Linked DNA regions of Pelodiscus sinensis. Each later gene encodes a partner of the first gene's protein in a complex. Links are inferred from orthologs where the notes say so. Each region holds a gene or a part of one and is shown on either strand. Other genes may lie near its edges. The genes, in order: MYO3B and ESPN.

Evidence for each region.
Region 2: the proteins of MYO3B (region 1) and ESPN are in contact, whole or in part, in a crystal structure (PDB 5ET1), measured with the Mus musculus proteins. The link is inferred for Pelodiscus sinensis from reciprocal best matches to the Homo sapiens genes MYO3B and ESPN. Residues at the interface, in XP_017174528.1 of Mus musculus: Arg1223, Arg1224, Gln1226, Gln1227, Pro1228, Lys1229, Met1230, Leu1231, Ser1232, Ser1233, Asp1236, Thr1237, Met1238, Tyr1239, Tyr1240, Asn1241, Gln1242, Leu1243; in NP_997570.1 of Mus musculus: Leu35, Ala37, His41, Arg45, Ala67, Asn69, Ala71, His75, Asp76, Ala79, Thr80, Asp101, Ser103, Leu110, Arg113, Phe114, Thr135, Thr137, Ala139, His143, Tyr144, Ala147, Thr169, Asn171, Tyr177, Leu178, Gln181, Ala203, Asp205, Met207.

Annotation. Positions count from the first base shown.
Region 1 is NC_134717.1:40,284,475-40,299,032, forward strand, and holds the start of MYO3B (myosin-IIIb), read left to right. Parts: upstream 1-7,718; 5' UTR 7,719-7,901; coding exon 7,902-8,165; intron 8,166-13,343; coding exon 13,344-13,478; intron 13,479-14,558.
Region 2 is NC_134733.1:24,168,359-24,183,268, forward strand, and holds the start of ESPN (espin), read left to right. Parts: upstream 1-7,558; 5' UTR 7,559-7,797; coding exon 7,798-8,091; intron 8,092-14,910. UniProt on the Homo sapiens protein: Multifunctional actin-bundling protein. Plays a major role in regulating the organization, dimension, dynamics and signaling capacities of the actin filament-rich microvilli in the mechanosensory and chemosensory cells.

The DNA.
Region 1 (14,558 bases):
TGCTCCTTGGTGAAGGAAGGGAGTATGTTCCAATGATGAAGCATCCTCACTATGAAATATTTGTGCCTTATTTTTAATACATATTTGTCCAGTTTCACCTTCCAGCCACTGGGCTTGTTCTGCTTTTCAAATACACCCTCAGCTTTCATGTAGAAAGTGTTTCAGGTCCTCGGGTTTACAGAGAAAAGGCTGAAAACATGATCTGAGTTTGTCCTCAAGGCCCAGAAAGCGAAGACACATAAAAAGACTCAAAATGTATCTATCTGTTTAATCTATCTTTAATCTCATTATTTGAAGCCAGCCTCTTGATTTTTTTATTTGGCTCATGATGGTGGTGCGCTTGAGATTGGCTGTACTCAGGATGAAGAATTTTACACTGATATAGCATCTTTTGGAGACTGTTTCAATTCTGCTATTCAATGAAATTGAGGAGGGAGCAGCTGGCGGGAAATAAGAGTTGCTAGGAAGGTATATACATTCATATGTTTTAACTATAATTTATGTGTATTTTGGAAATAGGTGGTAACTTTTAAGCCACTTCTGGCTGATCCAATTGGGATGGAGACACAATATTTTTGCTCCTGGGTAAGTGACAGGTTTCTTTACTAGTTACTGGGTGTGTCTAGACTACAGAGTTTTGTCGACAAAAGTGGACTTTTGTCGACAAAACTATACCTGCGTCCACACTACCGCTGAGTTCTGTCGACATAACGTCGACAGAACTCAGCAGTTTTGTCGACGTATGTAAACCTCATTTTACGAGGAATAACACCTTCTGTCGACAGAGTTTCTGTCGACAGAAGGTGTTATTGAATGGAAACTGTCCTTTGCGTCCAGACTACCATGTCGACAAAAGCAGCTTGCTTTGTCGACAGAACTCAATGTAGTCTGGACGCGCTTTGTCGACAGAAGTTTTGTCGACAGTATCTGTCGACAAAACTTCTGTCGACAGAAGCCTGTAGTCTAGACGTACCCACTGTGTCCAAACTTCATAGTGCTTAGAGGAGGGTGTTGCTAATGAGCATCTTCTTGTTTTACCTATCCTAAAGGGAGTTGCCACAGGAGCTAATTTACTGGATATGGTGCATTGTTTCTGTCATAAGCCAGGAACTATGGGATCTACGGGAGCAGTAGCACCCCCGGCTTGAAGTGGTTTCTAGCACATGGTTTACAGTTTTGTTCAGTGGCTCTTAGCACTCCCACTACACAAATTTTTCCTGCACCCCTGGTTCCTGGTGTGTCGGGTGGTTTGGGTTGGGGCTCTCACTGGGCTATGTTCTGCTGTATGTACACAGATGTTTCATGGTGTTGACTGAAGTTCTTCTTGAGCATGTTTGGTCACTTTAATTCCTGTTTCCTTGCAAGCTATAGGTGCTCTGCATCTCTTTAAATTGGGCACCTTTGTGTGGATTTAGCTGCCTAATTTAGGAACATCAGATTTGCCAGCCTGGATCAGATCAGGGTCCATTTAGCCATTGTCTTGTCCCTAACAGTGGCTAGCACCAGCTGCTGCAGAGGAAGGTGCAACAAATACTACAGTGGACAACTGTGGCATAATCCATCCACAGGGAACACTCTTCCTGACCCCCATCAGAGGTCAGATTACATTCTGAAATCTGAGGGTTTCTAATCCCTTCCAAACTTTTGGTTGATCATTTTAATCCTTCCTTGTGCCACTCTAGAATTGCGCTTTCTCTATATAAAGGTCCAATCCTTTTCTGAATGTTCCTAAGATCTGGGGCCCAATGATACCTTGTGGCAATGAGTTCCATAGGACCATTGTGTTAGGTTAGAAAAAATGGGATTTATTTTTTTACTGGTTTTAAATCAGCTACCATTCCAAGCCCTTGAACATCGCCATGTCATTGAATTATGGCAGTGGGTGAAAGAAGTACCCAATTATCTTCTCTAGATACTGTATGATATTTACTATGCTGTTATGTCCTTTCTTCATTTTCTATTATGTTCTACAGTAAAAGTCATGAAGTGTCTGCAGGGTTATTGTAATGAGTAGGTGACTGAGGACATGACCCAAGTTTTGAAAAGGGTCATAAATCATAAAGTCCTAACATGCAGTTGGTGCCACGTCATATTATTCTGACCCCAACTGACAGTGGACATCTGGGAGTTAAATAATGATCCTGAGAAAGATCCTGCAGTAATTTATACAGAGATAAAATTTCCCAGGAGGAAAAGAGGTTTGGGAGGCTTGTTTCTGAGTGTTCCCATTGTAAAAAAACCAAAAGCAAAGGTAGCTGCAAATTCTCAGGCCATGATAGGTATTAAAAGAATTTCTTCCATTTCAGTACTGCTTTTTTTTTCGCACTTCATCTGTCTATTGCTGGGGCACTGTTAACCTGAATTTGGGGCCTAAATCTTCAAGGCTGATTGTTGACTTTAGGTGCATCAGTTTGAGACTGAGTACAGAGGCCTGACTCTAAAGGTCAGGTCCCTGTCTCAGCACTGTCGCAAGGTGCATTGAGTTAACTCTCACCTCCAAATCACTTCACATTTCTGAATATTCTGTCTTTCATTTATGTAAACAAGATGTTAAATATCACAACTGCTATGAAATCAGTCGGATCAGACTCATGTTGACAAAGGGGGTAGGAAGTGTACTTGCAACATGCAGCCCTTGTATATCTGGGAGCATCTCCAGGCAACACCTGTGACTTGGGCCTGATGTGCTAGTTCTGAAAGAGGGCACAAAGACCAGAAGAGCCCTGAGCCCCATAGACAGGTTCTTGTGTCTTGCGCCAAACAACTTTGAAAGACGTCAGAGCTGATTAGTGTAAGTTACACAGGAAAGATTTAGACTTTAAGGATGCTGTGACCTAAACATGTTCAACTTTCTGTGCATTTGACTGGAGAGTCTCTCCTTAATTAGCTGAACACATTAATCACTGAAATATATTAAAAAAGCCAGAAGCCTATGGGCTTCATTGACAATAACAAATTATCTGAGGCTATGTCTACACTACACTTCTTTTTCAGAAAAAGGTATGCAAATTGCACTCTGCAATTTGCATTCCTTTTTCCGATTCTTTTTTCTGAAGAGGCTTTTCTGAAATTTGACCCAGCTACACTAGGCCAAATTTCAGAAAAACCTCCTCTTTCAGAAGATCCTTTCTTCCTTCTGAAACAAGGTTTACAGGGCTTCCTAAAGAGTGCGTCTGCTCTTCCGAAAAAAATTTCGGAAGAGCAGACGCATTCCCAGGATGTGGCGAAGTTTTTCCAGGATACCAGAGGTATTCCAGAAAAAACTCCATAGTGTAGACGCAGCCTGAATGTTCAGTTTCTGAGAAACAAGTTGAAGGGAAATCTTTTAAACATGCTGTAGCTCAACTGCAAGTTATTGGGCCGGAGAACGTATTTTAAAATGTTCATGATGGCAATATTTTTAAGACCCTGATCCTGCAGTTTGCTCTGCCTGGGCGAACCCCATTGGCTTTGGGCTAGTGTAGGTTGTTGGGTTGAGTTTGTGGGGGGCCAGTTGCTGGTTGGTGACCTGTTCTGTACAGGAAGTCTGAATAGATGACCTTTTGGTCCCTTCTGGCATTAAACTCTATGACTGTGGCTTGGATGCTGCTCTGCACAGGCTACGGAGTCTGCCTGTGCAGACTAGTTTGCAGAATCAGGGCCTATAACATTTCATTGCCTGTACATGAGTAAGATTTGCTCTTATGTGTTGCCTGCACCCTCAGAGTAGTGTGCTGTTGTGATATTTCACAAGACAAGCAGCGCCAGGGTTGGCTGGTGCTTGGCTAAGAGACCTGTAAAGAAAAGGAAGTGCTGTGCGTAGTGTCGATGGGTTAGTGGGAAGGGCTTCTTTTGGAATTGGTTCAGAATCCGTGTCCCAGCGGGAGCTGCAGGAGAGATACAGTTTTTTGGTACAGAGAGAAAATGATGCTGCTGTCTCCCCTGGTGCTCCAAAATCCTAGTCCCTGGCCAAAGGCCAGTATACAAAGCTTATAACCTGCTTACCACTGTTCCCTCTAATTTTCTGAGTCCATGTGTGGAATGATTTTCTTTGTGTGCACCAATATGGAGGGGATGTGTCAGAACAAAAGTCATTCTACATGCAGACTGTGTGGACAGGGGTGGCACCAATGTTTTGAGCTGCAGGAGGAGCTCAGGTCTGGGTCAGAGGTTTTGATTGCTGGGCTGAGGATGAGGGGGTTGGAGTGTAGGTTACCCTGAGGAGAGAGGACTAACCGCAGCCCTCTCCTTGCAGCAACTTGGGGCCAGGTGAGAAGCCCCTCTCCATGGGCATCTGCAGCTCCAGCAAGTACAGCTGGAGGAGGGGCACGGGGCACCTGTCCTCCAGGCTAGACTGCTTGGAAGCCATAGAAAGGATGCCTATTCCCCAGCAGCCGGAGCGCTGGGACAGATCTGTGTTGGGTGCCATGGCTGCGGGAGAGATCCTCCCCTGGAGCACCAAGCTGCCATGTCTGGGGAAAGGGAATACCCCTTCCCCAGCCCCATCATGGACCTGCCATGGCTGATGGCAGGGGGAGCTGCCCTGGTCAAGGGGAAGAGAAGGCACCCCCATCCCTGGCTCTAGCACAGACCTGAGAGGTAGATGTGCCCCCAGCCCCAGCAGGGCACCCACCCCGAACTCCTATGCGGGATTTGTTAGGGAGCAGCGATGCATCTTAGACAGAACTTGGCTGCCTACCCAAACCACTGTTTGAATATAGGATGCTTTCTTAAATACCTGCCCTCAGCAGGTTTTCTGGAGCTCATTTTAATACTGCACAACTGTTACCCTCTGCCTCAGAGGTAGCTGCATTTCAGTAGAAGATAAAATGGTTCCTCTTTCATGAATCTGATTCAAAATCCAGTGAAGCCAAAGAAGTTGAGAGAGAGACTCCCAGTGAGCACTGGTGCAGCGCCATAGTCATTAATACTATGATAATGATGATTATTAGACTGGATCAGACCTTGCCCAGAGAGATGTTGTATAAAAGGGCCCACTACAAAGGTTAATCCTCTAGCAAGATATTTAGCAGCCATCTGAAGATCCCTTGCTTATGTCTGGGATGGATTTCAGGAAAGCAAAGCATTCTGGAGTTGAGAGACCTTCTATGAGGGGATTCATTGTAAATGAATGTATAGAATTTTTTTTTGTTAAGTATCCATTAACTTAAATTTCAAAACAATGTTGTATCAAGTCCAAAAAATGAGAACTTTCTTTAGGAAAAATTCTGAAAGTGTGTGAGGGAGAGGGTCTTTCAAAAATGTTAAAAACATTTTTTTATTGTTTTTGTTTAAGCGGGAAATTTGTAACAACCATTCTTCTCCCACAAGTGGTTTTGGTTTTAAAAAAACAGCATTTCCAGGGCTCTGGACCTGGGAAGCTCCAAGTGGCCTGAACACGAAAACTATAAGTTCAGCTATGAGTTCCAATGTGACCTCTGGCCACTTGCATAGAACAATCAATTTCAAAGGCCTAGAACCCTCACTTCAGACAATGCCATACTCTCCTCTTGGAACTACTCCGCTTTGTATAAATACTCATTGAGCCAGAAACACAAATTGACTCCCTAACCTGGTGAGTAAGAGCCTCGGGACCAGATCCCTACATGGACTGATTCAGTTCAGGGACATGGTCTGGGATTTCTCACATCCAAAAACTTTCCTATCTACTGGTTATTCTGGGGGCCTTTGTCTCACAAAATTGGGGGACTAGGCAACACAATGGCAGATGGAGTTCAGTGTTGATAAATGCAAAGTAATGCACATGGGAAAACATAATCTCAACTACACATACAAAATGATGGGGTATAAATTAGGTGAACCCATCAATAAAGTGATCTTGGAGTCCTTGTGGATAGTTGTCTGAAAATACCTGCTCCCTGTGTAGTGGTAATTTTAAAAACCTAATAGAATATTGGGACTCATTAGGATAAGGATTGAGAATAAGATAGAAATTATCATATTGCCTCTATGTAAATCCAAGGTATGGCCAGATATTTAATACTTTGCGCAATTTTGGTCATCCCTTCTCAACAAAAAGATACTAGATTTGGAAAAGTTACAGAGAAGGGCAACAGAAATTATTAGGAGTGCTGAACACATTCAATATGAGGAGAGATTAAAAAGGCTGGCACTTTTCAGTTTCAAAAAGAGATGATTAAGGGGGAGGACTCTTTTCCAGAGAATGTTATGAAGGCGAGTTATAATGGGGATCAAAAAATAACTCAATAAATTCACAGAGAATAGGTCCCTCAATTTCTGCTGTTGTGTGATAGAAATGTAGCCGTGTTAGTCTGGTGTAGCTGAAACAAAATACAGGACTATGTAGCACTTTAAAGACTAATAAGATGGTTTATTAGATGATGAGCTTTCATGGGCCAGACCCACTTCCTCAGATCAAATAGTGGAAGAAAATAGTCACAACCATATATACCAAAGGACACAATTAAAAAAAATGAACACATATGAAAAGGACAAATCACATTTCAGAACAGAAGGAGGATGCGGGGGGGGGGGGGGGGGGGGAGGAGGAGGTAAATGTCTGTGAGTTAATGATATTAGAGGTGGGGAAAGGTAAATGTCTGTGAGCTAATGGTATTAGAGGTGATAATTGGGGAAGCTATCTTTGTAATGGGTAAGGTAGTTGGTGTCTTCGTTGAGCCCCCCGTGGAGAGTGTCGAATTTTAGCATGAATGACAGTTCAGAGGATTCCCTTTCAAGTGCAGATTTGAAAGTCTTCTGGAGTAGGATGCAGGTAATTAGGTCGTTGAGACAGTGTCCTTTCTGGTTGAAATGGTAAGAAACTGTTTTTTCTTTGTGATCCTGTCTAATATCTGTTTTGTGGGCATTGATCCTTTGGCGAAGTGTCTGAGACGTTTGTCCAATGTACATAGCAGACAGACAGTTTCGGCACATGATAGCATAAATTATATTTCTGGATGCGCAGGAATATGTATTCTTGATCTTATAACTCTCACTTGCTGTTGTGTGTGAGCAGCTAATGCCATATTCTGCATGCCCCTCACCCAGTTCAATACAGGCAGTCCCCGGGTTACGTACAAGATAGGGACTGTAGGTTTGTTCTTAAGTTGAATCTGTATGTAAGTCGGAACTGGCATCCAGATTCAGCCGTTGCTGAAACTGATCAGTTTCAACCGTGGCTGAATCTGGACGCCAGTTCTGACTTACATACAGATTCAACTTAAGAACCCCAGGCATCCCCAAGTCAGCTGCTGCTGAAACTGATCAGCGGCTGATTCCAAGAAGCCCGGGGCTGGGGCTTCCTGTAGTCAGCCACTGGTCAGTTTCAGCAGCGGCTGACTTGGGGACGCCTGGGGCAGAGCAGCTGGGGTGCTGCTGGGTTAGTCCAGTAGCGCCAAGGAGCTGTGCTGCGGGACCAACCGGCAGCGCCCTACCTGCTCTACCACAGGCCCGGGGCTTTGCTCCACATCTCCCTGGTCTGCTGGGGGGGAGGGCACTAGCGGGGTCCCCCTCCCCCAGCAGACCAGGGACACGGGGAGCAAAGCCACAGCAGCGGGGTGCCGCGCCTCGGCCTCCCCGGCTTTGCTCCAGGTGTCCCTGGTCTGCTGGAGACGGTCCCCAGCAGACCAGGGACACCCGGAGCAAAGCTGCAGCAGCGGCGGAGTCCCGCGCCTCTGAGGCTTTGCCAGAGCAAAGCCTCAGAGGCACGGGACCCCTCCGCCTCCCCAGCTTTGTTCCGTGTGTCACTGGTCTGCTGGAGACGGTCCCCAGCAGACCGGGGCACCCGGAGCAGCTTTTCTCGCCCCGGAGGTCGAGGTGGCGGGACCGCTGCGCTCTGGGCGGTCCCACTGCCTGCGAGCTCCGGGGCGAGAGAGCCCCGTTCGTAAGTGCGGATCCGACATAAGTCGGATCCGCGTAACTCGGGGACTGCCTGTAAATAAATGAATAAGAAACAGTTGAAAGAAATCCCACAACATTCAAAAATGTACAATCATTTTTCACAACAAACTTTGTTTTCCAGGACACCGCTATATGGATTATTTCAATGTAATCCCAATATGATTAGACTGGCATCATTAGCTGATCCCTCAGATACTTGGGAAATTATAGAGACCATTGGAAAAGGCACGTATGGTAAAGTCTATAAGGTTGCCAATAAGGAAGATGGGAGTCTGGCAGCTGTAAAAATTCTGGATCCTATCAGTGTAAGTAAAAGATTATAATCCCATTTTAATCATAATGTCATTGTTCAAATTAAAAGGTTTTACTCTCAAATAGGCTTGATGCTCTGACTCAGAGTTTAGGCAAACTGAAAACGTCCTGGAGGGAAATGTTAAACAAATTATGAGCAGGGTTGAATCATTTTTTGAATCATGGGTTACTTGATTTAGAAGGGGAAAAAAATGTTTCAACCCTGAATCCAGCTTCATAAGGACCCCTTTGTAAGACTCTTGTATGATTTAGCACACAGTCCTACGAAGTGCTAAATCTGTTCAGAGCAGACTCAATGATCTCTTTAGAATAATTATTTTTGCCTTTTCTGTATTTGTGAATCATTCATGGCTTGCAGGGCTGACAATAGATTTTGTTGAGCTCTGAGGCAATGTGTGTGTGGAGGGGTTGGCTCCAGACCCAGCCTCTAGCAGAAGGGGCCACATGACCCGCTCTGCATGGAGCTCCGGCGGCAATTTAAAGGGATTTGAGCCATGTGTCCTTTTAAATCACCAGACACCACCCTCTGGCCCTGGGGCAACTCCCCCCTTACCCTCCATCCCCGCCCATTGGTGGCCCTGATGACTTGATAGAATTTGTGGTTAGTTGTAATTCACAAATACTCATTATTGGTTTTATGCAAATTTCAGCCAATGAGATGTTAGAAAACGATTGACTCAAACTATTCTCATTGTTTATTTAAGTCACATGGCAGTCTGTTCCCATATTGGGTGACTGAAACTTCTCACACAGCAGAATATCAAAATGCAAATGACACTCAACGGATGGTAACTAAGTAGGGAATATGCTTGTTCACGTACAAATATGTGTTCATATGATGAACAGGCAACCCCTAAATGTCACAACAAGAATAATGAGAGGCCTGAATTTGATTGACCCAAACAGTCACTTGGAAATTGCACCTTGTTTTCTGTTTTTCAGCCAACTCTAGTCCTGAGCACTTTCTATTCAGATGCCAATGGGAGTGAAAGTTATTTAGCTCCTGGTGAAGAGCTGCCCCTTACAGAGTCTTATATGCTATTCAGAATCAGCATTCATGCTGACTTTGATTTCTGGCAGCACACCTGAGTAATTCACTAGTACAGATTTTAGGTCTGCAGGATTGCAGCAGCTGGAACATGAACATGATCAGACTGTACAGTGGCATTTCCAAGACACTTATGGTCAAATCTTACATTCATACAGTGCTGTTCATCATGAAGGATCTCACATCACTGTAAAATCTAAACAAACTCTATTATGGACAACCTGCACCCACCACTGAAGTGCTTCCAACTGTAGAATAGAAAGCAGCAGTTTTTTATCAATGCACAGCGACCGCGCACAATAGTTAAGACAGGAACTGAGGAATACTGTCAGGAATTCAGCTGCCTGCAGTCGCCTAGCAACCCGATGTGCTCAATTGCGTCCAGTAAGCCTTCATTAAGTGACTGTTCTCCCTGATTGGATGGAAGAGCCAACTGATCCATACTGAAACCTGGTGGCACCAGCAGCACCCAAACCTGTGTCAGACTTGCTTCCCTTCTAACCCTGGCTCCTTTCCTTACCGGTCCTCGCCAGCCCTGCCAGCCTCTGAACACCTAAATGTGAATTTGACAAGGAGTTTCTGGGCTGTGTCATTTCTCCAGCAGGACTTGCCATGGACCCTCACAAGGTTGCAGCCATAACAAGTGGAAGGCCCCCTTGAATATATGAAGAATGCAATGATTTCTTGGATTTATAAATTTGTACCAGCAGTTCGTCCAAGGACTTGTTGACCTGGTAGCCTTTATAAAATCCCTCCTCAGAAAGTTCACCTGATCCCCTAACATGCAGGCAACTTTCGATGACTTGAAAAAGTTTTTTTATTTTCTGTCCCCTATTTTAACCTATCCAGAGCCTACAAAGGCATTCATAGTTAAGACCAATGCCTTGGACTTTGCAATAGGTGTGGTCCTCGAACCAGTTGCTTCATCCCTATGCTGCCTTCTCTTGGAAACTCTCTCCTGGTGAGAGATGATGTATGGGGCAAGGAGATCCTGGTCATCCAGTCTGCTTTTGAGGAATTGTACTACCTCCTTGAGGGGGCCTATGTCCTTGTCCACGTCAGGACAGATCGCAAGAATTTGGAGCATTTACAGGGAACACAACGATTCCATTAATGTAAAATTCACTGGGCCCTTTTCCTCTCTCAGTTTGACTTTATGGTTATGTACTATCCTGAGTCTATGAAGAGAAGACCAATGCCTGCAAGAATGAGTACTATGAAGGGGAACAGAAAGCCTTCACTTTCTCTTTAAATAGTTCCAATTTGTCTGTGGGGTCCACACTGTTCAGTGGATGACCACTATCCAATTCCCAAGATCAGGTGCTACGGTTGCACCCTGAGTCACCAATGGCAGGACATTTCAGTCAATTAAGAACCTGGTACCTGATTATTAGTTATTCTGGTGGCCAATCCTATGAACAGATGTTAAAAACTCCTCCCACCCAGACATCCCACCCCCAGCCTAGTCCTGTACCCTCCCCTGCTCCTGTCCCCTCCCCCTGGCCAGATACCCTGCCTAATCAGGGCCCAACCCCTATCTGGCCACAGTGACCTGTTCCCAACCCTGATCCTGGGACAGGCCCTGTGCTCAGCCCCCATCTGGCCGCAGGAAGGACTGGTAACAGCCCCCCTCCTGCTGCAGCAGGGGGTAGGAGGAGGGGGCATGAGCCTGCTGTGGTAGACAGAAAGGGGTTGGCCAGCTCCTGTACCTCCCCCTTAGCCAGACATCCCTCCTGGACAGTCTCTCCACCCTCCCTCTCCCACTGGCCAGACACCCTACTCCCAGCTTGCTCCTGCATCCTACCTCCCACCCAGACCTCAACCCCTCCTGCATCTACCTCTGCCCATATCCTGGCTGCACCTATCCCACGCACTGGCATCCCTGTCATGCACACTGAACCCCTCATTTTTGGCCCCACCCTGAGCCTAGGGGGACCCAAAATCCACTAACCCTGGAACCCCAGAAGAGTTAATTTGGCTTGAGGCCTTGAACCTCAGTCCTTCCTCTCCCCACCATGGGGCTGGGACACCAGAGGAGTGAGGTGTTTTGGTTGGGGGCCACATCCATGAGGGCTGGAGGGTTTTGGAGGGGCTTTTTCCTCCCTTTTTACTTGTGTGGTCTCTGACTGATTTTTCTGTAAGTCAGTGGCCCCCAACCCAAAAAAGGTTTCCCCCCCGCCATAAATAAAGACAATGTTGAAACCTGTTTTTTGAACATAATATTTTTACTTTATTTTAAATGAAGCTTGGCCTGCAAGGCCTCATTTGGGGCTCAGCCCCCATCTGGCCTCAGCATCCTGTTTCTAGTCTTAAACCTGGGGCAGGCCCAGTAGTCTAGCCCCCATCTGGCTGCAGGAAGGGCTGGCGATGGCCCATCTCCTGTGGCGACATGGGTAGGAGGAAAGGCCACAATCCAGTTGTGGTGGACGGGGGGGGGGGGGGGGGGGCAGGCAGGAGGCGCAGCCCTCTAGTATGAGATTAAAGGAGTAATACATCAGGGTTTTGATACAGCAAACTATCTCTATCCAGCAAATTACTTAAGCACATGCTTAACTTTGAATCATGTGCTCAAGTCCTGTTAAAGTCAAAGTCTGTGCTGAATAGGAATACACTTTAAGCATGTGCTTAAGTGATTTGCTGAACTAGGGCTCATGAAGGGCTTATTGTTCAGTATAGTTGGCCCTTTGTTATTTCATCTTCACAAAAATCATCTTTAGACAAATAATTGGTACTATGTGCTTATTTTGTGGATTTTGATTTTTACTCTGTTTAATAGTTCCTATATTTTTTACTGTGTGCTTTAGTTTGTATAAATGTCTCCTGTTTTAAAGATGTATTTATTTATATTCATGACCCATTTAATGTATTTTAGAACTGCTATGTAAACGGATTCATCTAATTACTTTAAAAAGAAAAAATGAAGCTAAGATCCATGTGTTTACATTAGCTCATCTATCAGAAATGCCAATTTAAGAAACAGATTAGAAAAGATATATATGCAAATTTTCCATTTAGACAAGTGAGCCAACTTTTTGTGGTAGCAGTGTATTATGCATTAAGAGTACCCTTGAGGCAAAACTCCTGACTACACATGGAGTTCACACTTTTATTTGTAATAAGACAATTGTGGTGTGATGGATTTTGACCAGATTTTGTAATTTGATTAGACTGTTTTCAGTGCATGACAAGACATTTAACAGTATAACATAATGTATAGGTGTTTCTTTTTATCCTTTAATATTTACTTGCTACAAGATTTACCTGGTGTTGCTCACATCCTTAACTCAAATACATTTTGTTTTTCTTAATTTAAATCATAGAATCCTAGAATACTAGAACTGCCAGGGACCTTGAGAGATTGTCAAGTCCAGTCCCCTGCCCTCAGTGCAGGACCAAGTACCATCTAAATCATCCCTGACAGATGTCTATTCCATCTGCTCTGAAATATCTCCAGTGATGGAGATTCCACAACCTACCATTGTTCAAATAATTGTTCAGGGGGGCAAGTGGGGTGGGGATGAGGGGTTCAATATGCAGTCTGCCTCAGGGAGATAGGAAAACCTGGTACCTGAAAACCTCAGTAGTTTGGGGCCAAGTGAGAAGCTCCTGTCCCTAGACACTGCAGCTTTAGCGGGCACAGCACAGGGGAGAGGTGCATGTTCCCTAGCTGTGAAATAGACAGACACATAGACAGACAGACAAACTCTCTGAAATATATAGTAGATATTTGTCCCTTTCTCTGCCCTTGCCCCCTGCTGGACTGATGGGGTTACAGCTGTCCTGATTCTTATTTCTGGCCCCCTTGCTGCTCCTGTGTGGTCATTCTAAAGTATAACTGCCTCCTACCAAACCCCGCCCTTTGCATTTCATGAGAAATAGTTGAATTCCAGGCACATTGCATTGTCTTGGCACAACCAAAACCTGACTTTGCCTTAAGTTAGACAAGGGCCAAATTTGATGTCCCTTTTTCTTACTATTTAGGAGGAGTTTTTGAACAAATGGATGGACAGACCGACACACAGACAGACAGACAGATACACAAACGCTCTAAACTATATAGTATATGTATTATACTGAATTATTATATATGCATACATCACATTTGTTTGCATTTTCCATTTAGGACGTGGATGAGGAAATTGAAGCAGAATATAATATTTTACAGTTTCTTCCCAATCATCCCAATGTTGTTAAGTTTTATGGAATGTATTACAAAGCGGATCAATACGTGGGAGGACAGCTCTGGCTAGTTCTTGAGGTAAGATATTTAGATAATCTTAAAACTTAATTAAAACAAATTTTTAGGGTGCAGTGCTCCCTTTTAGAAGTGAACAAACAGAACGAGCAAATAGTGGGTCTCAGTGTTCTCAGTATTCTCATCAGTCTGGCTATGGGAGGTGTTTGCAGATCCACCTGTCAAAAATACATTTAGTGTTAATTCATTAACAAGCCCCAGAGGTGGAGGCATGGTGGTAGCACTTTATTGATACACAGGGTACTTTGTTCTGCCTTTAGAAACATAGAATGGGTTCCATAATCATTTTCTTACTTGAAGGCAAACAGTCATTCCATACCAAAGAAAACACGTGTTAGTGCTGAGACATCAAGCCCTCATTGAGCAATCCAAAGAAGACTTCATGATAAAGTACCACACACAATATTTATCAAACCTAGCACTAGTGCAAATGTGGGCTGACAGGATACAATGGCAGTGTAAAATTAATATCAGGATGCTGTTGAATATCTAGCACTTGAAATGGCATATGCAGATTTTGCCCATTTAGAAGGCCTCTGTGTTCTCAAAATGAGAGATGTCATTCAGGCTACACTACCTGACTGCAATCGGTCCAAAATTTCACTCAGATGATTAGGATGTTTCTAAAGGATTAATTGTGTATGAAGCCCAGCATGAAAATTAAAATGATCTTAAGGGGGAAGTTGCACCATACCACTAGTTTTCTAGGACATCATTCTATCATAAGAACGACCATACTGGGTCAGACCAAAGGTCCATCAAGCTCCATATCCTGTCTACCAACAGTGGCCAATGCCAGATTCCCCAGAGAGAGTAAACACAACAGGTAATCATCTATGTTCTTATGTTCTTCAGTGGACTAAAAGAAGTTGGTCCTTAATTTAATGTCATATGGTGATGGAAAGTGCTACACCTAGAACTAACATTTTATATTTATTCATAGAAAAGAAATATGACAGAGTTCTGTAATGCAGTTTAACCACTCTTTCCTAAAAAAAACCCCATGCATTAGCTCTCCTATGCAAGGACCTGTTCTAGGGGCAGGGTTGTTTCATCCCAGAGCTTTCTATTGACAACCAACAT
Region 2 (14,910 bases), on another chromosome or scaffold:
GGAGGGACGTGCTGGTGCCGGGAGGGGCTCTCGCTCTGGGGGTGGGGGCAGGAGGGACGGCCGGACGGACAGCTGGCCAGTGGCGCCCAGGTGTGCGGGGCAGAGCATGGGGCAGGAGGCTGGTTCTGCCTGGCTCAGGACGGTGCTCGCTGCCCTGGCTCCACTCAGCACCTGCACTGGAGCCCCCTGAGCTGTGTCACCTCGGACCCCCCGGGCACCCCGGGGCCTCGGGCTCTGTGGGGGGGGGGGGCTGAGCTTTCAGGTGCTGGGTGGGCAGCACCATCTAGTGGGGGAAGGGTGGAATGGCAGGATCGGGGCCCTGCCCAGCCTCCCCCACAAATCGCATGTCCCCTTGCTCCTAGGAGCGCCCCTTCCAAGGGGGCTTCCTGCCTCCCACTGGGCAGGGGCAGGGCAGGACCCGCCCCCTCCCCGCAAACTGCTCCGGTGGGGGGAGGGGGGACCAGCCCAGACCCACCGCTCCCTCTTGCACCCCCCCCCCCCCCGCGGCTGCAGGAAGCTCTGTGATGGCTCCCGTCCGGCAGCTCAGCGTGAGCATGGCGATCCCGTGGCCCCCCAACAGGCTTGTGACGCCCCCGGGCAGGGCCCAGGTGCCAGCGCGGTGACATTTCAAGGGCAAACAGCTGGAAATGTGACATTTGCCAGTTTTAAATCCTGTGGCCGCGGGACGGTGCATGTGGCCGGGCCCCTGCCCTGACGCGGTTCCAGGGGCTGGTCTGTCGGGCAGGGGTGGCTCTCAGCAGACCTTGGCTGCTCCGGCCTGGCAGGGGGTCTGCTCGGGAACCTTCCTCTGGCACGTACAAGCGAGCCAGGGCCGGCTGGGGGAAAGCCTGTTTCCCTGGCCCCGCGGGGGCAGCCACAGGGTCTGGCTCTGAGCTTGGGAAGGAAAGGGGGAGGCAATGGCCAGGGCCTGAGCGCCAATGTCAGGGGCTCCTGGCCGAGGCTTGCCCAGCGGGGCCCCGCGCTCGGCCGGCCCCCTTCGCTCCGGCGACATTCCCGCCCTGCCAGGGGCTGCCCTGAGCTCCGCTGCGGGACCCGAGCCAATGGCAAGAGGCTCTCCCAGGCTGCCGAGCGAAGTCCAGCGAGGGCCTGCAGGCTCCCGGGGAAGGGCCCAGGAGGTCCGGCCTCGCCGCTGGGCTCTGCCAGGCCTGGCTCAGATTCACCCTCCGCAGTGCCGCAGCCGGGCCGGAGCAGGGCATCGGCGCTGCCGTCCCTCGGCCAGACCCCGGGCAGCGCCGGGACCCTCCTGGCCGTCCTCTGCGGGGCCTTTGCCGTGGCCAGCACCGTCGCCACGCTCTGCACCGACTGCTGGCAGGTAACGCGCGCTTGGCTTCCGGCCTGTGCCCTTGGGCCCCCGGCTGGGGAGGCCTCCAGGCCGAGGAGGGCTGGTGAGTGCAGGGCAATGCAGCAACCTCTCCTATCGGCCTGGGGTCCGCAGCGCTGGGCAGTGCCCAGAGCAGCAGTAACCCTCCTCCCCGCGCCTGCTCCAGCAGCACGCCCGTCCCTCCAAGGGGCACTGTGCATTCTAGTCTTGCCAGGGTCCTGTGCAGGGCCCATCACCGCGGTATCTGACCCTCCCCCCTCGCCTGCTGCTTGGGGCTGGGTATTTGCCGGGCTCTCGGCAGCCCTGGCTCGGTGCGATTACCCAGCGCGCTCCAGCCGGCGCACACACCTGCGCGGCGAGAGCAGGGAGTCGTCCCAGCTCGGTTACTGCCCGCTGGGCCCTGCGCTCCGCACGGTGGTGCTGAGACCCAAACTCAGGCGCAAACTGTAATGACCAGTCCAAGGCTGCTCCTGACCCGAGCGAGAGAGCGGGGCTGGAGAGCCGGGCCAGAGAGCAGGGCCTGGAGCGCGCAGGACGGGCCTGGCGAGGGCAGAGAGGGGGACGGGAACCGGGATGTCTCGAGTACATGACGGAACAGTCCAGGGGCTGGGGGCAAAGGGGATTTCTCCCTCTCTCTCCCTCTGAGCAAACGCTGCGGCGACGCCAGGGTGTGATCGCCCCTCCTCCCCTCTCAGATTAACAGCAAAGGCTCCGTCGCCCCGAGTACCCGGTGCCGTGGCCTCTGGAGAGTGCGTCTGGGACTCCTTTGCCCAGGTCTGGACCTGTGATGTGTTCGGCTCCTACCTTTGCCAGGGCTCTGGGCCTCCAGGCAGCCCTGCCCTAGAACCACCCTGCTCACCTGTGGGGCAGGCTCATGCAAGCAGGTGTCAGGCTGGGCAGACTGTTTGGTGCTGAGCGGCTGCCGGCGCTAATCTCACTAACAGCTGTCCCACGCGGGAAGGGCCTCGCCAAGCTGCTGTTCTGTGAAACCCGGCAGACGGGAGAGACATCGTGGGACGTGCTAACCTGCCCAGTGGGAACGCTCCATGCACGGCAGGTGGACAGAGCCCAGGAGACGTTTGCCCTGCCCTGTGAGATGAACCATGCAAGCACGTCTCCCATCAGCTGGCCCTGCAGCTCCGGGGGTTAAAAATCCCTACCAAGGAGCCATGGCTCCCTGTCGCCCGAACACTGGGGGACAAGGGTCCAGGAAGAGGCAAGAGACCCTCCCCACCCCACCCCACCCCGTTCAGCCTGGGACAGCCCTAAATGCCATGGAGAGCTTGCTGCTTAGAGAGGCCACTAGTGCTGTTTAGAGAGAGAGAGAGAGAGAGAGAGAGAGAGAGAGAGAGTGTGTGTGTGTGTGTGTGTGTGTGTGTGTGTGTGTGTGTGTGTGTGTGTGTGTGTAAAAAAAAAATAACCCGTTTCCTTTCCCTACTCTAGTTCCTTGCAGGACTGGTGACACGTGTTGTCTCTGGATAAGGTCCAGGAGGAAATGGCCGGGGGTAAGTGAAGGGGAGCCCCACAGTGCGGGTCTCTACCAAAGCAAGCCAGGCCTGTCTCAAGTCTGGTGCACAAAAGGACGCAGGCCAGGCTCCGGGGGACGCTTGGAGAGGTGGGAATGGGTTTTTGCACAATCAGGCAGATACAGCAGGGTGCAGTGAGACCACGCCAGGGCCATCGGGAGGAGCCTCGTACTGGTACAGTCTATTTCCGAAAAGCAAAAATTCAGGGTACAGCTGTAAAACTATTAACCATGCACATCGTTTCGCAAGATCCTCAGTAGCAGGATGTCCCCCGCATTGGGCATTGTAGGGATTTACACGACACGTCATCAATTGGTAGCTAGCACTAGAACGGTCAAGTCTCGCTCTGCTAGAAAATAGTCTCAGGAAGAAGAGTCGATGGGAGGCAGGGAGGGAGCAGGGCTGACCCACAGGTCCTGTGCATTGTAACTAGAAGTAAAAGACCCTTCACGCGGCTACGGCAGTGCCCGGTGCCCCGAAGAATGAGAGTCAAAGGGCCCACGAACCTCCTGCCTGGTACCGTAGGTGGCATACGGGTGACATGTAAGTGAACTGTAGTTAATAGAAGATTTCTTACATTGCTTTTGTATTGTTTTGTGCTGTACTCATTGCTTACGATGGATAGTACTAAGGTTTAAATTGTACAGTCGTTGTTCTTAAGGCTTGTAAAACTTAACACCTGTATGAACTGCTCAAAGCTTGCAATAAGTAAGGAAGTGGTTACGTCTCTCTGGAGTGTCCTGGTTTCCCTCGGATCCAAAACAAATCGAACCACACGTAAGTGGCTGGTCCTTTGGGACTGGGACTAAACTGGAAACTGACTAGGACTGTGAGCTCGCTTGGGTGGGGCGGTGGACCGGAGGCACCGAAGGGTCTGTCCCTGACTCCCTGCCTGGGAGGGGTTGACACGTGTGCGTTGGCTGGTGGAACGAGGTCCAGGACTCAGCTATTGGAGCTTTGTGCCCTGCTCCTAAGCAGGGGGCCCTGCCGAGCAGCCGGCAGTGACTTGAGGCGGGAGTGCCCGTGCAGGAGCGGCCCTAGACGAGCTGCCGGCAACGGGCGCCCTAGGCGAAACATGCGATCGGCGCCCCGCCTCCAAAGCCTTCAATGGCCATTTATCTTGGTGCCCTAGACGACCACCTAGGCCACCACTGTGCCCGTGACATGCACAGCCGAGGGAGAGTGCCCCCTGGCCTGGAGATCACGTTTCCCTCGTGTCGCTGAACCTCGTGATATTGCCCTCATGCCACAATGATGAGATTGGTTCATGTCGCAAGCCTGTTTTTCTGGTCCAGCTGCTCCGTTTGGCCGGGTCTCCAGTGCGAGAGCAGCCGGGAGAGGGAAGGAGCACTAGCCGGCGCCCCCCACCTGCTCCTGTGGGAGTGCCCCCTCCTGCCCCAGGGCCCAGCTCCTGGGCGAGGCCTCTGGGTGCTGCTGTAACCCACCGATCACCTGGCCCGCGCGTCTCTGCTCGGCCTTTGGGACAGGCCCTGAACAGCGCTCGCAGGGCAGCAGCCACCAGATGGTCGCAGAACCGCCAGCCTCGTACCAGTCCTTCAGGGGCATCATTTGGAGAGGGTGGGGGGCAGTGACCCCCCTCCCGAGTTTGAACCCCTGGATTTCAGGCTTGGGGTCTGCCCAAAGCCCACACCCTGACTCCAGAGGCAGCTCTCAAATGCTAGTTTGGGCTGCTGCAGCTTTGCCTTTGGAGCAGGGAGTTTGTTATCAAAGGGGAGGGGGATTAAGAACAACAAAAGGCTGGTTATTCAGGTAACTGAAGGATCCTTAGATCTCCATGAAAACAAAGCCGGGGCCTCCACTTAAAAGACAGGGGGAGTGTAGGAATGAGTGTTGTGCTGCAGGGATCTGCATTTGGATCCCGGCTGTTAAATGTCTCACAAATGTTCCTGAAAAAGGGTGACCAGTGACTACTCCAAAGCTGACCGCAGAGTCCCAAAGGGATCTCCCAAAGCTGGGTGACTGGGCAACACAAGGGCAGATGGAATTCAGGGGCGAGAAGTGCAAAGTGATGCACATGGGACAATATAACCCTCACCATAGATACAACGCTGGGTCTACAATAGCTGTTCCCACCCAAGAAAGCGATCTGGAATCCTTGTGGATATTTCCTTGAAAACATCTGCTCAATGTGCAGTGGCCATTTGAAAACTAAAAAGCTAACGGAATAATGGAACTCATTAGGAAAGGAATAAATAATAAGGCAAAATAGCCTATTGCCTCTCTATAAAATCATGGTTATGCCCGCATCTTGAACACTGTTTGCAGATCTGGTCACCTCATCTACAAAAAGATCTACTGAATTTGGAAAAGGTACAGACAGGGCAACAGAGATGACGAGGGGTAGGAACAGCTTCCATCTGAGGAGAGATTAACGAGACTGGGACTGTTCAGCTTGGAAAAGAAATGGTTAAAGGGTGGGGGCTATGATAGAGGTCTGGACAACCAGGAACGGTGTGGGAAAATAGAATGAGGGAATGTCGTTCAGCCCTTCGCTAACAACACAGGAAGCTGACCCAATGATGTGTATAGGTAGCAGATTTAAAACAAACAAAATAAGTGACAGGGGATGGATCGTGATGATTGCCTCCTTTGTTTATTCCTTCTGATGCACCTGGCGTTGGCTACTGTCAGCAGCAGGATATAGGGCTAGAAGGACCACTGGGGATATGTTGGCAGTCTAGAAAATCAGGAACGGTGTGGAAAATTGGAATAAGGAAATGTAATTCATTCCTTCACTAACAGAACACAAGAATTCAATTTATGGGCAGCAGATGTAAAACAAACAAAATAAATTAGTTTTCCACAGTCGACTTGTGGAACTCCTTGCCAGGAGACGGTGGAAAGGCCCAAACTCTAACAGAGTTCCAATAAGAACAAAATAAGTTCAAGGAGGATCGGTCCATCCATGGCCACAACCCAGACTGAGCGGGGATGGAGCCCCTAGCTTCATGTTGCCAGGAGCTGGGAATGGGCCACGGGGTGAGTCACTTGTTGATTCCCTGTTTATTCCTCCTGACACACCCGGCATTCGCCCATGGCAGCAGACAGGACACTGAGCTAATGGGCCTTTGGTCTGACCCAGTCTGGCCATTCTGGGTTTCTTATATGGAGCTGAAATGGACCTGCCCCTGCTGTAGCCCACTAGCCCCCCCCCCCTGCAGTTAGTAACTAAGCCCAGACATCCCGGTAACCCGCGTCCGTCAGGGAGGTGCCGCAAGGTGTCAGAACATGTGAGTGTCCGAGCTGAGGGGTCCGACAGTTATTCCATTGTCTGTCTGTTAGCTAGGAATTAGGCCCAGTGCTCCTGCCAGCTGACCGCTAACTGTCTGCCAAACCCAGAGTTTCTCGGTGCCTTGGCAGCCCTGGGCAGACACGCTGTGTGCGCGGGGAGGGCGGAAGGAATTGGTGACCCCCCTGCCCCCACTAGGTGCTTGGCTTGTACTGAGCATGCTTAGTAACACCGCTGCAGCTGCTGTCCCTCAGTCTGCCCCCCCCCCACGCTCTCACTTCCCCCATCACAGCTCCCCCCCAAATGGCGGGAGCAGGCCCAGGCAGTGTACCGGGGAGGTGGCGATGGGACTGCGCTTGTGGCAAACGCCCCTGCCTTCCTCTCCAGCCAGGCACAGTCCCGGGGCTGAGTTGGGGGGGGGGCGGTCCTGGCACCCCTAGGCACAGGCCAGACCCAGGCACATGCTGCCACCAGCGCCCAGTGGCAGGGCGGGCAGGACTCGCCTCGGGCCTGGCCCGGAGCAGGGAGGTCGGGCAGGCAGGACAGGGCTGCCCTGCCAGGCTGCGGGGTTCCCCCTGCTCTGAGTGATGCGGTCAGCAGGGCTCCCAACCCATTGTCAGGCCCCTCCAACGCCTGCTCGGCCCTGGGCACGTCCCCTGGCTCAGCGCCTGCCAGCCCTGCTGCTGCCGGGGCTCCAGGGACTCAGCCAAGCGCCCGGGCCAGCCTAGAGGGTTTAACCCCTTCCTGGCCTGGGCTGAGCGCCGGGGGAGGGGGACGCTCCCCCGCGGCTCCTGCCATTCCCCAGACAGGGCGGAGGGAAGGAGGAGCCGCCCTCGGGGTGAGATCGCTGCGCGCTCCTGCCGCCGCCTGGCTGCAGTTCCCCGAGGCCGGAGGCAGGGAGGGCTGAGGAGCCGCAGGAGAGTCTGACCCGGGGGGACGGGACGTGCCAAGAGCAGGGGCCATGCTGCGCTGTGCGCCGCGGTAGTGCCCGGGAGCCCCAGCCAGCCTGACAGCCGGAGCGAGGGGTGGCGGGGCGGGAGACCCCAGGCACAGTCCCTGGGCACGAGACACCACGGACAGTTCCTCGGCCGCAGCGCAGGAAGAGTCCCGGGGCGCAGCGCAGGAAGGGTCCCGGGGGCGCAGCGCAGGAGGAGACCCGGGGCGCAGCGCAGGAAGGGTCCCGGGGCGCAGCGCAGGAAAGGTCCCGGGGCGCAGCGCAGGAAGGATCCCGGGGCGCAGCGCAGGAAGGATCCCGGCGCAGGAGGAGACCCGGGGCGCAGCGCAGGAGGAGACCCGGGGCGCAGCGCAGGAAAGGTCCCGGGGCGCAGCGCAGGAAGGATCCCGGGGCGCAGCGCAGGAAGGGTCCCGGGGCGCAGCGCAGGAAGGATCCCGGGGCGCAGCGCAGGAAGGGTCCCGGGGCGCAGCGCAGGAGGAGACCCGGGGCGCAGCGCAGGAAGGATCCCGGGGCGCAGCGCAGGAAGGGTCCCGGGGCGCAGCGCAGGAAGGGTCCCGGGGCGCAGCGCAGGAAGGGTCCCGGGGCGCAGCGCACAGGTCTGGCAGTGCCCGGCCGGCAGCTCCTGGCCCGGGCTCGCCCTCCCGGCAGCGCGGCGCGCTCCAGAGGCTCGGCGCGGCGGGCCGTCCCATGGCGCCCCCGGGCTGGTGAGGGGCCGGTCGCGGCGATGGCCCTGGAGCGGGCCCTGCTGGCCGCCCGCCAGGGGGACGTGGACACCCTCAAGTCGCTGCAGGCGGAGGGGCTGCTGCAGCCGGGGCTGCGGGACGCGCTGGGCGCCTCGCCCGCTCACCACGCCTCCCGGGCCGGCAAACTCAACTGCCTGCGCTACCTGGTGGAGGAAGCGGCGCAGCGGGGCAACAGCCGGGCCCGCAACGGGGCCACCCCGGGCCACGACGCGGCGGCCACCGGCAGCCTGGCCTGTCTCCAGTGGCTGCTCACCCAGGGCGGCTGCAGCGTCCAGGTGGGCACCTCGCGCGGCCCCTCCGCCCTCCCCGGGCTCAGCCCCTCCCTGGCTCTGGGGCACCGGGGGGCGCAGGGCGGGGCTCAGGGGCGCGGGGAGGGGGGGACCCAGAGCCACGGACCCAGCTGTAACCGAGCCGGACCCGCCTGGAGCCAGGGGCTGGGCTGCCCCCAGTGCCCTGGTGCCTGCGCCCGGCCTGCAGGGGTGGCACTGGCTGGTGGGCACCGGGGGCTCTCCCCTGGCCAGGTCGGGCTCGCTGGCTGCGGGCAGCGGCAGGGGCTGTGCTGTGCCCTGCGGGAAGGCAGGGAAGCCGCGCTCCAGGGCCGGGCACCGCCCGCTGGGCTGGCAGCAGGGCAGTGGCACTGGGCACCCGTCGCCGCCGGGCACTCATGGCCCCCGGGGTGGCCGAAGACGGGGAATGTCACCAAAGGGGAGTCACAGGAGCAGGCCCCTCCCGGCTTGCGGCTGCCCTTGCATGGCTGGCTGGGCTAGTGGTGAGCGTGTGTGTCTATGACTGTGTGTGCGTGTGTGCATGTGTGTCTCTGTGTGTGTGTCTAAGTGTGTCTGTGTGTGTCTATGATTGTGTGTGCATGTCTGTGTGTGTGAGTGTCTAAGATCATATATACCAAGGGATACAATTAAAAAATGAACACATATGAAAAGGACAAATCAAATTTCAGAACAGAAAGGGGATGGGGGGGGGGAGGTAAATGTCTGTGAGCTAATGATATTAGAGGTGATAATTGGGGAAGCTTTGGTATATATGGTTGTGACAATTTTCTTCCACTATTTGATCTGAGGAAGTGGGTCTGGCCCACGAAAGCTCATCATCTAATAAACCATCTTGTTAGTCTTTAAAGTGCTACATAGTCCTGTATTTTGTTTCAGCTACACCAGACTAACACGGCTACATTTCTATCACTAATAAGACTGGGACTTTTCAGCTTGGGAAAGACTAAGGGGGGATAAGATAGAGGCCTAGAAAGGTATGGCTGGTGTGGAAAGAGTAAATAAGGAATGAAGACAGGGTGAATCAAGCCCTAAGGCCATAGAGAAGTCCTCCCAGCAGGCTAGAGTGGCTGTGGAGCACCCAGCCAATCAGGAGCCAGAGGGACTATATAAGAAGCTGCAAGACTCAGGGCAGCCCAGACCTGAAGGCTGGTGGAACCAAGGATGGCTCAGAGTGGGGAGCTGTTTAGGACATTGCCTCGAGGAGGGAAAGCTCACAGACTTCAAGGTCAGAAGGGACCATTATGATCATCTAGTCTGACCCCCTGCACAGTGCAGGCCACAGAATCTCTCCCACCCCTCCTAGAATAACCCTCTCACTAGATCTCAGATATTGAAGCCTTCAAATACTTTGAAGGCCCCAAGATGCAGAGAATCCTCCAGCTGTGATCTGTGCCCCATGCTACAGAGGAAGGCGAAAAACCTCCAGGGCCTCTGCCAATCTACCCTGGAGGAAAATTCCTTCCCGACCCCAAGTATGGCGATCAGCTAAACCCTGAGCATGTGGGCGAGACTCACCAGCCAGACCCCCAGAAAGTTCTCTAGAGTAACTCCTATCATCCCTCCATTGGCCTATTCCCACTGATAATAAGACTCTGGGGGCACCGCTCTCCTCGTGAGTGGGGAAGCAGACTGAGAGCCTGTGCTGGACTCAAGACCCTGCAGAGGGCACTGGGATGGGCCCCTGTTAGAGGGGCACCCTGGAAGTGGTTTGTGACTGTGCACAAGGGAGAGCGGCTTGGCCAGAGGGCTGAGTAGCCACAAGGCTTTTAAAACTGAGGCAGTGCAGGAAAGCGTATGCAGCCAAAAAGGGGGGTCTTGTGGGAGGTGAGTGCCGACCCCGTTCCAGGCAATGTTATTTACTCCTTCCCATAACACAAGAGTTACTCAATGTAATGAATAGGTGGCAGGTTTGAGACAAACAAAAGGAAGTACAAAACACACAGTCAACCTGTGGAACTCCTTGCCAGAGGATGTTGTGAAGCCCAAGACTTTAACAGGGTCCAAAAGAAGCACTAGCTAGATTCCTGGAGGTTAGATCCATCAATGGCTATTCGCCAGGGTGGGTAGGGTGGTGTTCCTGGCCTCTGTTTGTCACAGCTGGGAATGGCAACAGGGGCAGGGTCACTGGATGAGTCCTTGCTCTGTTCACTGTCTCTGGGGCACTGGGCACTGGGCAGCCAGGACCCTGGGTCTGACCCCGCCTGGCCGTGCTTGTGTCTCTGGACAGGACGACTCGTGGTGGCATTGGCAGTGGCCGCTTTGGAAGCCAGGCCCCGGGGGTTGGTTTCTGCAGCGCAGCTGGGATCGCTGAGGCGGCTCGGAGCTTTCCCAGGGTTCTGGGCAGCCAGGCTGGGCCAAGCGTAACGGGCTCAGCCAGCTGTTGCCAGTTGCCTGTGGGCTGAGGAGAAGCAGTGACTTGGGCCAAAGGCCCCCTGCTCACCTGGCCTTTCTCCCATCTCCTGCTGCTGATCCCGGGTCCCTCCCGGCCGGGCAGGTTCCCTGGGGGCGAGGAGTGTGGCAGGCCGGTGTCACAGCGGGCAGGGGGTGCAGAGCGAGAGGACGTGAGTGAGGAGTCACATCCCCGCACTGGGTGCAGAGCTCCCTCGGGGCCGGATCCAGCGGGACGTGCCCTGCCCCTCCAGACGTCTGCCCTGAGTTACGAGGCTGGTGTGCTGGGCCATGGCAGACGCCCTAGTGCCGCTCCTGGGAGTGCCACCGGACACCTCACTGATGCTGTGACCCCTGAAATTCCCTCCCTGCAGCCCACTGGCCCCCGAGCCCTCGCACTGCACACGGGTGATGGGGCGCGGACGTGGCAATTCAGTGGCACTCAACCTAGTTTGTACTCAGCCCGTCCCGTTGTCAGTGCCCAGGGCTCCTGCCGGTAGATGGGACCGAGCTCGGCAGCGGGTTCATGGAGTCAGACCATTTTTTCCATTCATGTGCAGAGTGAATTTTGTTGTGTGCACTGAGGCAGGTGCGGAGGGGCACCACCAGCAGGAACACTGACTGTGGGCACCCTGCTAATCAGTGGGTGGCTGCCGTCAGCGTTCGGGGATCCGATGAAACCGCCCCAAGGCTGGGTGCGGTGTTTCCGGGTGGCCCAGACATTGCTGACGCCAAGGGCAAGCGCCCTGCTGACTGCCGCAGGGGGTGGCCGCAGGGCTGAGATGCCCATGGGGCCGTGCCAAGGGGCTCGTGCTGTCGGGGAGCCCGGCCGCTGCGTTCCGTCGATGGGTCGTTCCCCGGGGCCGCGGTCGGAGCAGGCACCGAAAGGCTGAGCCGCTGCTGCAGCTTGAGCGGTGCAGACGTGGGCTGTTGCGACACAGCTGTGGGCAGCAGGGGAGATGAGGAAGCAGGGGGCAGGTCAGCCCCACGAGGCGCTATCTTGGCTGAATTCCATTTGCTGTTTGCTCCACGGTGTCGGGAGCGCTGTGACCCACACGGGGCTGTGCGTAACCAGGCGACCGCCTGCCCGGCAGCCAGCTCAGCATTGCTCTCCGCTCTGGCTGCGGGGAACATGCCAGCTCCCCTGGCGCGGGGCCCGGCGGGGGCAGGCCAGTGCCCAGGAGAAACAATCGGTGAATTGTCCGAGCCGGGGCTGTAGCTAGGGGGTGACAGGCGCAAGCTCCCACGGGTGCCCTCTGGTGAGAGGTGATACGTGCCAGTGGCTTGCCCAGGCCGTCCCAGGCTGCAGGCTCCTCGGGCCGGCCTGTCGCTGGGTGTCCAAGAGCCCCGCCGTGTTCGCAGGGAGGTTTTGCAGCGGGTGGCGACGGCCCCGCGCGTGTCTCGGCACGAGAGGCTGAGCGTGCAATTGCCAACTCCCTGCATTCGGGAGTCGTGCGTCGGGCTCTGGCGCTCACGAGGCCAGCTTCAACATCCCGCCCCTCGGAGGGAGTCGCACGGGCGGGGTCGTCTGGCCTTATGGTGCGCTCAGGGCTCGCGGCCAAGTTTCGCTCCCAGCCACCTGGGCTAGAAGCTTCCTGCCTGTTAATGAAAGCGCAGACCCCTCCCCCGAATAAATCACCTGACTCTTGCAGCTGGGTCCTTCAAACACCCAGTATCACGAGACTTGCAATCGTCACCTGACGTGGCAGCAGTGCCGGGTGGTGCAGCGTGGCGGGGAGAGCCCATTCCGGCCTGCCCGCTCGGTTCTGGTGAGGTTGGGTTGCCGTGAGCCGTCCGGGAGGGGCTGGGGGAGCTTGTACAGGGCAGAGCTGGAGGGCCAGGGCCAGGCCAGGCAGTGTGAGCACATGGCGATGGAAAAGGTTTCTTGTTGCCTAAGATGGATAAGTCGGTGAGCCTGACGGGTCGCTGCTCTCCTCGCCGCTCTCCTCGGCCCCTTTCACTGCTCGCAGGGGCGCTCTGGCTGCCCCGACAGCTCCCCAGACGGCTCCCCAGAGCGCCCGAGTGGTTCACGGCTCCCCAGACGGCTCCCCAGAGCGCCCGAGTGGTGCACGGCTCCCCAGAGCGCCCGAGTGGTGCACGGCTCCCCAGAGCGCCCGAGTGGTGCACGGCTCCCCAGACGGCTCCCCAGAGCGCCCGAGTGGTGCACGGCTCCCCAGATGGCTCCCCAGAGCGCCCGAGTGGTGCACGGCTCCCCAGAGCGCCCGAGTGGTGCACGGCTCCCCAGACGGCTCCCCAGAGCGCCCGAGTGGTGCACGGCTCCCCAGATGGCTCCCCAGAGCGCCCGAGTGGTGCACGGCTCCCCAGAGCGCCCGAGTGGTGCACGGCTCCCCAGACGGCTCCCCAGAGCGCCCGAGTGGTGCACGGCTCCCCAGACGGCTCCCCAGAGCGCCCGAGTGGTGCACGGCTCCCCAGACGGCTCCCCAGAGCGCCCGAGTGGTGCACGGCTCCCCAGATGGCTCCCCAGAGCGCCCGAGTGGTGCACGGCTCCCCAGAGCGCCCGAGTGGTGCACGGCTCCCCAGACGGCCCAAGTTGTTGCCCGTTGGGAGCTGAGTCACCCCATGCAAAGAGGGAAGAATTAACAGGCTGCAATGCTGGAGCAAGGCCAGCGCCGGGGGCCCTGGCTGTGCGTAGTGATGGGGCTTCAGCTCTGAGCGTCCGACCTTATTCTCGGATGTGAGTCTCCTTTGGGCTCCAAGCAGGCCTGGCGCTAGGCACAGATTCTCCCCCCCCCCCCCCCCCCCCCCCCCCCCCAGCTGTCTGGCTCGTTTTGGGTTTGAAGTTTCCCTGCCGAGGGCGAAGGTCCCAGACCTGCGGCTGGGCTGTTCTGAAGCCCTGGTTCCATCTCTCATTCCAGGGAGTAGCTTGTTCGCATGCAAATAGACCAGTGAGCAGAGCTCCCTGTAAGCTGCTCACGCGCGTGTGGTTGCTCAGGAGAGTCAAATGCTGCCCAGCTGATTAGCAGCGCGCCCACAGCCTGGGTTTGTTTGTATCAGTGGTGCACGTCTGCACATCTCAGTGCACATAACAAAATTGATTCTGCACATTCATGGAAAAAATCTGCGCCTGGATGGAAGAGATCAGCCTGGCAGAGCTGGGAAGGTAGAGCACAGCTGGCTGCACATCTGTCGCTCTCCTGCTCTGATGCCCTTCAGAAGGGGCTTTGTGCTGTGTCTGGCTCCGGGCAGCTGAAGGTGATGGCCAGGGAGCGGGCCTCCCCAGCACACCCCCCCGCACGCCCAGCCCTGTGTCTCCGGCTCTGTGGGCACTGCTCGGACGTGCAGAGCGCGGGCGCACGGTGTTACGGCGGGAGCAGCACCAAGAGGGGAGCAGTGGGGGGCGAGAGCGTCTCACAATAGCCCGTGTCTGCTTCTAGCCAGGGCACAGTCTCTGCCCCCGAGACGTACGCACAGACAGACACAGGGGCACACACACGCACAGACACACGCAGGGGCACACACACGCACAGGCGCACGCAGGGGCACACACACGCACAGACACACGCAGGGGCACACACACGCACAGACGCACGCAGGGGCACACACACGCACAGACGCACGCAGGGGCACACACACGCACAGACACACGCAGGGGCACACACACGCACAGACGCACGCAGGGGCACACGCACAGGCACACGCAGGGGCACACACACGCACAGACACACGCAGGGGCACACACACGCACAGGCGCACGCAGGGGCACACACGCACAGACACACGCAGGGGCACACACACGCACAGACGCACGCAGGGGCACACGCACAGGCACACGCAGGGGCACACACGCACAGACACACACACACTGGTATCCCCGTTCCCTTGGATACAGGACACTGGGTTGGGTGTTGCTTTAGCAGCTCTGGGCTGCTCCCTCTCCGCACCCCCACCCTTCCCATTTCCTGGCCGGGGTCCTCCTGCAGCTGCCCGTCCCTCCTGCATCCAGGAGCTCCGGGCTACCGAAGGCCTCTATAGCCTTCCCCCCCCCCCTCCCGACCCCAGCCCCGCCCTGCCGTGGGCCTGCCCTCTGGCCTCATGCCTCCTCCAGCCTTTGGCCTCTGGGCTGAGTCTCCCGAAAGGGGCCTTGTGTTTATTTAATGCAGGTCGGGGGGGGGGGGGCGATGCCGACGCTCTCCCACAGGGAACCCGGAGCATCCCCTGAACTCATCTCAGCGGCTACTGACCACTCCTAGGCCACGCTGAGGGCAGGCTGCCACTGGGCCGCCCCACCCACGCAGCCGTTGCTGAAACGCTGCACGAGGCAGGGCGGGAGGCCGGCCCTGCACAGCTGTGAGCCTGTGGAGGTGCAGCCCAGCAAACCCGTGTGCCACGAGCCACTGTGAGCCGCCGCCGCGAGCCACTGCGAGCCGCCGCCGCGAGCCACTGCGAGCCGCCGCCACG